Linked DNA regions of Ovis aries. The protein of the gene in region 1 purifies or fractionates together with the protein of each later gene. This does not show direct contact. Links are inferred from orthologs where the notes say so. Each region holds a gene or a part of one and is shown in the gene's direction. Other genes may lie near its edges. The genes, in order: STK35 and C12H1orf174.

Region 1 (4,515 bases):
GAATCCCCATGGTCAGAAGAGCCCAGCAGGCTACAGTCCATGCAGGTTACAAACAGTCTAATATGACTTAGCAACTAAACCACCACCACCAAAGAGGCATGACAACTAAATGTAAATATGTGATCCTGATTGGATCATGGGAATAGCTACATTATTGGGACAAGTGGCTACATTTAGTATGGAAGATGTATTAAAAATTGTGTTATTGTCAAAATTCTTCATTTTGATAGTTGTACCAAGGTTTTGCAAGACAATATTCATGTTCTTAGGAAATACACACAGACGTATTCGGGATTAAAGAGGCACGATGTCTGAAACATAAAGTGGTGTGGGGGGAAAAGTACACCCACGTCTATATATAATACATACACAAATACACAAGAGAATACGACAGTGCAAATGTAGTAAAATATAGCAAACTATTATCCTGGTTAAAAAAGTTGTGAGAATCTTTACCATGCTTGCAATTTATATATAAATTTGAAATTTTACCCCCAAAATTTATTTTCGTGATCATACCAACAAAAGTGGCCTGTCCCCAGCCCCCTGGCACTCTTTAGCTCATTCTTTTCATCGATCACACTTACATTGTAAAAATGATTCTGCGTATTAATTTACTTAATAATATCTAACATTTAATGTGTGTGAAGGCCCTGTCCTAAGTGCTTTAACCTTCTAAACTCAGTGAATTCTCACATACTGCTCTTCCCATTTTACAGATAAGGAGGAGAGACACAAGAAAGTGTGTTAACTAATTTGCAGACACCCATATGATTTGATACCCACTCCAGTGTTCTGGTCTGGAGAATCCCAGGGACGGGGGAGCCTGGTGGGCTGCCATCTATGGGGTCGCACAGAGTGGGACACGACTGAGCGACTTCCCTTTGACTTTTCACTTTCATGCATTGGAGAAGGAAATGGCAGCCCACTCCAGTGTTCTTGCCTGGAGAATTCTAGGGATGCGGGAGCCTGGTGGGCTGCCGTCTATGGGGTCACACAGGGTCGGACACGACTGAAGTGACTTAGCAGCAGTAGCAGCAGCAGCAGCAGTGAACAAGATATTTTAAAATTCCTGCCTAAACGGAGCTTACATTCAGCGCTCTCAGCCCTGCACCCAATTAGCCACTTTCTATTTACATCTAAATATTTACATATTAACATTTTATATAAAATATACTTATTTAATTTGGGACTATCAATCCTGGGAGGTAAGGGCCAGTCTACCCATTTTGCAGAAGAAAAAACTGAGGCTCCAAGTGGAGGCAATGGTTTGCCCAAGATCAACAGGTTTAGTAGGGAGACAGGGTATGGAGTCCAACCCAGTCCGGGCGGTTCCCAGGCAAGACCTATGAATCAATTAAACCGACCAATCCAATCGACCAATCAGTATTTATTAGCGCCTACTGCGTGCAGCTCTTCTCGCAGCGCGGGCGAAGAGAGGAGGTTGCGGTGCACAGGCGGCTGCGAAGACTAGAGGCCATAGCCGAATCGCGGGAATTTGGCGCCTATTTTTTGTTGGTTGGGTGTTCTCGCCTGTGATTGGGCCCCCGCCCCGCGTGGGTGCGCCGGGCTGCGGCTCGTCGGCCGACCCTGGCAAGACGCCGGCGGCGCAGCACTCAGCCGGCCTTCCGGGGGATGGGCCACCAGGAGCCTCCGCTGGCCCGACTGAGGGCCGGACGTGCGGCTTATATAAAAAGGTTACGTAAAGGGCTCAGCTGGCGCGAACACGTGGAGAGCCGCGGGAGCCCGGACGCCCAGCTGTCCCCCGAGAGCACTGCTGCCGTCACTCGTGCAGTAGCAGGCGCCGTCGCCCGCCCGACTCGGGCCGCGGCCTCCCGCGCGGCTCCGTACCCGAGGCAGCCCCGTCCCGGGGCGGACCATCCCCAGCCGGGGGCCTTAGGAGGGAAACGCGCTGCCCGGAAGTGGAAGGGCGCCGGCCAGGTAAGCGCGCTGTCCGCGGCGTAAAAGCTAGCACCGAAGCTGGAACTACGGCTGCCGCCTCGGGCGTCTGTGAGGGCAGTTGGGCCCCAGGTTGGGCGCGCTCAGGGACGCCGAACTTTTAAGCCAACCCCTTACACCCGCAGTCCGGCGGGACTTGGGTCGGTCCGCAGGGCTCTGCTCGGGCTTAATTCAATGGACTGTTTACACCCGGGAGAACTCAGGGCGGGACGCGGGGAGGGGCATCCCAGAGGGAGCCAAGCAGCGGAAAAAGATTTCTACAGTCTGAATTGCTTCTGAAGGCGGTTTTCATCAGTCATGGAAACAGCGGGTCCTTGTTTTTCGTACTGCTACACGATAAATTAACTGAAAAGGCGGGGACTTTTTGCTCTTTTCTCCGGCTCCCCCCTCTAAGCCAGTGCCCCGTGGTTTCGTCTTTCCCGCTTTCCCCTCCCCTCCCCCGTTCGCTCTGCAGCCGTGGCTTCCGTCTTAAAGGGGCCGCAACGGCCGGAGGAGGAGGTGGGACGCCCTGAGGCTTACGCTCCAGGCCTCCCCGCCTCGGCCTAGTCGTTTAACCGACTTTTTCGCCCGCAGGTCACAATCCAAGGTCCCGCTCTTCCGCGTCCCGGGGCCGGACGGAGGGATGAGGCAGGGGGGTCCCGGGCAGCGCCGTTGCTGCTCCCCCCGCCGCCCGCAGCCATGGAAACGGGGGAGGAGGACGGCGCTCGCAGAGGTACACAAAGCCCCGAGCGGAAAAGGCGAAGCCCAGTGCCGCGGGCGCTCAGCGCGAAGCTGAGGCCGGCGGCGGCGGCCCAGGCCATGGATCCGGTGGCGGCCCAGGCCCCAGGCGAGGCCTACCTGGCGCGGCGGCGGCCGGAGGGCGGCGGCGGGTCGGCGCGGCCGCGCTACAGCCTGTTGGCGGAGATCGGGCGCGGCAGCTACGGCGTGGTGTACGAGGCAGTGGCCGGGCGCAGCGGGGCCCGGGTGGCGGTCAAGAAGATCCGCTGCGACGCCCCCGAGAACGTGGAGCTGGCGCTGGCCGAATTCTGGGCCCTGACCAGCCTCAAGCGGCGCCACCAGAATGTCGTGCAGTTTGAAGAGTGCGTCCTGCAGCGCAACGGGCTCGCCCAGCGCATGAGCCACGGCAACAAGAGCTCGCAGCTTTACCTGCGCCTGGTGGAGACCTCGCTTAAAGGTAGGAGCGCCGAGGGCCGCCCTGGCCACGCCGGGCCTGGGCCCAAGAGTCTGGTGGCCAGACCCGAACTGACCCCTGGACCCCTAGAATCTGGTCCCAGTCCTGTCAACCCTGGACCCGACACACCCTCCTTTCTGCGCCAGGCAAAAAGTCCGCCCTCCCCTCTCCAGATCCGGAATCAGTTCCCAGCCCTAATGTTAGCTGGTTTTTTCATAACAAGGGCTCATTAAGTGCTAACCATTGTGATACTAGTGCTCCTTAAGTGAGCCATTAGTATGAAACGTCTAGCACTTTGAAGGTCGGATTTGGAAGTGGAGGGGGTTGGGCTCAGAGTTAGTGGAAGAACTCCCGAGCCCCCTCACAGGCTTGGGCCCTTCTCTTTCCCTCCCAAAGCAAACAGAAAGGAAAAAACTCAGCCGGACCCACCCACACCCACTCCTTGTCTGGTTCCAAAAATCCCCGAACCATCGGGCTCCACCCTGCAGACTCTGGTTCGTCTTTTTCCTCTGAGACCCCCCCAGCTCTTCTTCCCAGGGCACTCAAGCTGACTGATAGTTTTTAGGCTAGGTCCTCTTGGGACCCGCAGCATAATAACCCCACAGGTGGGCCAGAACTGTCACACAACAACATCGAATATCTTTTTCCTCTTGTTTTACACGTTCTTAACTTTCTGAGGCTGACTTGTAAGTGGTTTTATTTCTAGAAAAGGTAGGGCTTAGTGAGGCAAAGGGGTTTTGCAGTTCTGGGGAGGGCAAATCCTCGTTTGGGGGTTTTAACTGCAGTCAGTGGGTGTGTGCATCCTGAGTGGTCACGTGTCTTGTTCAGACTACAAGTAGCTGGGGGTCTCTTCCTAGCCAGTGGGCTAGGAAGGCCTGAGGAGTGTTCTCAGGGGAGAGGTTGCTAATCTGAGCCCCAGCTCTGCCCTATATCTCTTACAGTGACTGGAGGTAATAACTTTAAAAGTAAATCCTCTCCTCTTTCTATAAACAGAGAAACTAAGGATTAGAGATGAACTTGAAGGTAAGTTGATGAAGGTTAATCAGCTTGTAAGGGATGTAGGGTTGTCCTCCTGTTTTCTTTACAATTTTTCATAGCTTAAGGGATGTGATCCCAGATTTGTCTTGATTTCAAGGTCTAAATCGTTTTAAGAGGGGTAACAATTTCCTCTTCTCCCCTGAAGATGCACTAGATCTGACCTTAGTAAGGATGGATAGGGTCTGGGGTAGGGTGGAGTCAGCTAGTGCATTTTGTTTGGAGCTTTTGCCTGATCTCAAGATTCTGCAAGGCCCGTCTCAAGAGAACTTCTTGGCCCACTTCAGATCAGTTTGATAGTGGATTGAGAACATGCTCAATATCACCTGGGGTCCTTTTTCAAAATAGGC
Region 2 (4,540 bases), on another chromosome or scaffold:
CCACCTGGAGCCAAACGCTAGCTTGTGACCATCAACCCCAGGTTAATGAGAACTCAGAGTCCTAAAGGAGCCTTAAGTAAAACCACAGAACCTACCTTATTATGAAACCCACTCCAGTGAAAATGGGACGTTCATGCTCAGTCCTGTCTGACTCTTTGCAACTCCATGGGATTTCCACTGAAGTGGGTTGCCATTTTGCTCTCCAAGGGATCTTTCCTACCCAGGGATCAAACCTCCATCTCTTGTGTCTCCTGCATTGGCAGGGGGAATTTTTACCACTGTGACATCTGGGAAGCCTGAAAATGGGACAGGTTAGGTATTTAACACTGTATCACTTTGCTTCTTTCTTAGCAGCTGACAGTGATTATGTTAGCTTCCTCTTCAAATGGATTTCCTGCCAGTCTGCATTAGTCTTTTTTCCCTTCCCTGTGCACCATGGGGAACAACTCAGTGAGAAGCAGGGGACTGGGAAGATGGACAGGCCAGGTGGGTTAGCTTGTGCAGGTGTGTGCAGTGTGTACTCTAGGACTTGATGCACTGCCGAAAGCAAAGCCCCAAGTGCAGTCTATGGGAAGGGGCTCCCCCTAATTAGCAAAAGTCAGATTTCTAAAGACAGGACAGTCTGCAGGGCTTTTTGGAGGATCCTGAGGGACCCTGCTTTTTATGTACTAAAAACGGGCATCGACTGTTTTTCCAGGCTTCGAGGGTCATTCCGTCAGAGCAGAGCATGAAACCTTTGGCAGAGCCAGGGAACCACATGAGTGAGGGTGCCTCGAGCGGTACACACTTCAACCTGTACACTGTAAGTGCAAAATCTAATGTTTCTGATAAAACTGCCTGATGTAAATGTTCTCACCTGTTAGAACAGTAATAACAAAACTACACAGCACTGTCGTTTATTCTGTGTCCCTGATGAGAAGGTGGGCGGTTCCCGGAAGGAGCCTCCCGCGGGCACAGAGGCCGGTGTCTCCCGGCTCTGGAGGCCCGAAAACCCGGCGGACTTCAGCCACGTCCGTGGACCTGGCCCCGTGGCGCCGACGCCCGCGCCCGCGCCCCGGGACCCAGAAGGCAGGTTCCCGCCCGTTGGCCGCCGCCAGGTGGTGCGGGCCAGCGCGGGGGGCTGCACCCGAGGGTGGCCGCCCCGGAGCTCGCGGCGGGAGAGGCCGCCGCCTTCCGAGCCCCCGCGATCCGGCGCGCGGTGCAGCCCCGGGCCCGGCCCGCCCCGCCCCCGGCGGCAGGCAGGGCGAACACGGCCGGGGACGGCCTCGCGGGCCCACTTCCAGAGACTGTGTAGCATCGCGCCCGGAGCCCAGAAGACAGGGCCGACACCGGGGAAATTCAGCTGCCCGACTCGCGTGGAAGACACCACCACGCAGGACCTTTCCACCCACCTCCACGCACGTGGCCAGGGACAGCAACCAGGGTCCCTCAACCTAGTCGCCACCGCCCCACTTAAACATGGGGACCGCAGAAACTACCAGGGAGGCGCCCCACTTAAACATGGCGGCTGGAGAAATCGCAAGGGAGGGCCCCCTCACAAACATGGCCGTCTCCCCGCCCATACGTAAAACGCCGACTCTGCTGGGTCACATACCCGAGGACGCCGAGCTGTGATTGGCCAGTCTTCTGGTGGCGTCACACGCCGCGGCGCGAGCCAAGGGCCGCCGGATCTCTTCTCCGGTGGAAAGGATCAAGCTGGGCGCGGGGCCTTGGCGGCGGGGCTGAGAGCGGCAGCGCGCCGCTCACACTCATGAGGAGCCGGAAGGTGAGGGGGGGCGGAGGCCGCGTGGGAGCTGAGGCTGAGCCACAGGACACCTCGGATGGAGGAGGGGAGGGATCTCCGCCTGTGTCTCGACCCCCGGAAGGGGTCTCCCAGGCCACGCCCCCCGGGAGCGGGGTTCTCCCAGGCCACGCCCTTAGGCGCCCCCACGCACACACCAGACACACAGATACACGGACCCTACGCCCCCCGGCTGGGGGCCTCTTGAGAAGGATGTTCCCAGACCAAGTTCTGGAATGGGGGGCTCCCTCTCCAGAGCTAGTCTGAAACCCCGATACTCTGACGCTGCCTGGCCCGGGGTCTGTCAGCCCAAGTTGGGGCACACGATGAGGGGTCCACCCCGGAGGGTGGAAAGAATTGAGGGGCTGTAGCTCCTGGTACTGGTTGCCGTCGGGCGGTCTAGGGCCCGGGACTGGATACGCCCTGCCTGGGGAGGTGGGCCTCTTGGGGATGGGAGCCGCACCTGGGCTCCCTGGTCTGCTCTCCTTTTTATTGTTTGTACCTTTGACTCAAAAGTGGGTCTCCTGAAGACCCCATGTGGATGGCACTTTCCCAGTCTGACTTCCCTGACTTGTGATGGATTGTTTAGCTACGCCGCTTGGGGATTCCCAGAATCCTGCAATGCAGGAGGCGCGGGTTCCATCCCTAAGTGGGTAAGAGCCCCGGAGGAGGAAATGGCAACACACTCCAGTATTATTGCCTGGAGAACCCATGGACAGAGGAGCCTGGAAAGAGTCGGACACGACTGAGTGAGCTCTTGCTGTTTGCAAGATCTTCCATAGTCCTTGACTTGCAGCATTTGTAGTGTTGCATCTGATTATAGATCTCTTTGCAGTTATCCTACTTGAAATTCAGCTATTTGATATTGCTGGGTTTGTGCATTGTTCTTCAATAAATTTGGGAAGTTTTCAGCCCTTATTTTTTCCAATATTTTTTGTACACCTTTCTTCCTGGTATTCCCATTACATGTATGATGGTTCATTTAGTGGTCTCTGAGGCTCTCTTCATTCTATTTCATCCTTATTTCTCTTTGTTTTTTGGTTTGTGTAATCTAGCAATCTATCTTCTTCTTTTTTTTTTTTTTAGCAATCTATCTTCAAGTTCTCTTATTCTTCTGATCCATATCTATTCTTGAGCATTGCCCACTCCAAACCCACCAGTGAATTTTTAATTTCAGCTATCGTAATGTTCAACTCCTGAGTTCCCATTTGGTTTTTTTATAATGTCTATTTTTTTTATTGATAATCTCTATTTGATATGATGTCATTAAATCTTTAATCATGGTTTCTTTTAAGTTCTTGAACGTGTTTAAAATGGCTAGTTTGAAGTTCTTTTCTGATAAATCCTGCATCTGATCACTGTCACAGGCAGTTTCTTTTACTTGCTATTATTCTAGTGTTTGGGTCTGCATTCCTGTTTCTTTGCATGCTTCCTAACTTTCTGTTGAAAACTGGACATTTTAGATACTATAGCAACTCTGGGTACTGTGTCTGCCACCCCCGCCCTGAGTGGTAACAAGCCCTCTGAGGAGCAGTTGCACCCCAGTATTTTAAGGACTATGTAGAAAACACCTAGACGCACCTTGCTGCTACCGGAGGGCCTACACAGCGCATGCCCCAGAACCAGGCAGGGTCTTGGCTCAGTCCCCCTGACAAGCCACCAGGGCTTTCACCTGGTAACTCTGGTGGCAGAGCAGGGAGAGGGGCTCCAATGAGTGTGTGACCCCAGCAGGGTCCTCTCCTGAGTTTGAAGTGGGAGTGCTGCTCCTTTTAAGGTTGTTCAGCACGAGCAGAACCTAAGCAGCAACACTTGGGTGATGGCAGCTGTCATGAGGGCCAGTCCATTTCCCCACACCCCACCTTGAGAAAGCCAGTGTGACCCGGGATCGATACATTTGGAGTTGGACTCTTAATGGTGAGACCTACTGGTGTCATATCTGGGGCTCCAAAGAGCTCCAGTACCACTGTCCTTTATGTCTCAGTGCAGAAAAGAATTCAGCAAGAGCAAAGTGATGGGTAAGAAGAGATTGTTAGAATGGATGCTTGTGCGGTTTACGAGTGGGTGGAAGAGGGGGTGCTGCACCCTGAGAACTTAGCAGGCTTCAGTTTCATAATCAAAGGAGAAGTGGCCAGGGGGAGAAGAACTTTGTCTTTCTTGAGTAGACATCGTGCTTCCATCATCAGCTCCTCCTCCAGGCTGGGCAGGGGAGTTTTCTTGTCCCTATGTGGTCAAAAAAGGTCCACAGATTATTGTTTTGTGTGTTCAGAGAGCACATCCTAGGGATCGTTACCTTACTGAGCTCACTGGGCAGGACGTGGGGCTCACGTCACCACTGTTTTATTGTTTGAGGGCATGTCTTAATACTTCTGTCTCATGGTTTTGTTGCTAAGCAAGCCCGCTTTCTCAAGTAATTGCTAACTTAACAGGGGTCTCCCATATTTTTTCCATTTACAATCTCCTAGTGGGATTCTCCGGAGAAGGCAATGGCAACCCACTCCAGGACTCTTGCCTGGAAAATCCCGTGGACGGAGGAGCCTGGTAGGCTGCAGTCCATGGGGTCGCTAGGAGTCGGACACGACTGAGTGACTTCACTTTCACTTTTCACTTTCATCCATTGGAGAAGGAAATGGCAACCCACTCCAGTGTTCTTGCCTGGAGAATCCCAGGGACGGGGGAGCCTGGTGGGCTGCTGTCTCTGGGGTCGCACAGAGTCGGACACAAATGAAGCAACTTAGCAGCAGCAGCAGTGGGATTCTCCAG

Evidence for each region.
Region 2: the proteins of STK35 (region 1) and C12H1orf174 purify together in Homo sapiens (affinity purification with mass spectrometry; 3 studies listed by BioGRID and IntAct, counting the BioPlex papers as one, with this or other methods). This does not show direct contact. The link is inferred for Ovis aries from reciprocal best matches to the Homo sapiens genes STK35 and C1orf174.

What each region holds. Positions count from the first base shown.
Region 1 is NC_056066.1:52,743,795-52,748,309, reverse strand, and holds the start of STK35 (serine/threonine-protein kinase 35), read left to right. Parts: upstream 1-1,582; 5' UTR 1,583-1,635; coding exon 1,636-1,941; intron 1,942-2,532; coding exon 2,533-3,133; exon of another isoform or gene 3,134-3,287; intron 3,288-4,515.
Region 2 is NC_056065.1:48,597,712-48,602,251, forward strand, and holds the start of C12H1orf174 (UPF0688 protein C1orf174 homolog), read left to right. Parts: upstream 1-1,670; 5' UTR 1,671-1,750; coding exon 1,751-1,765; exon of another isoform or gene 1,766-1,874; intron 1,875-4,540.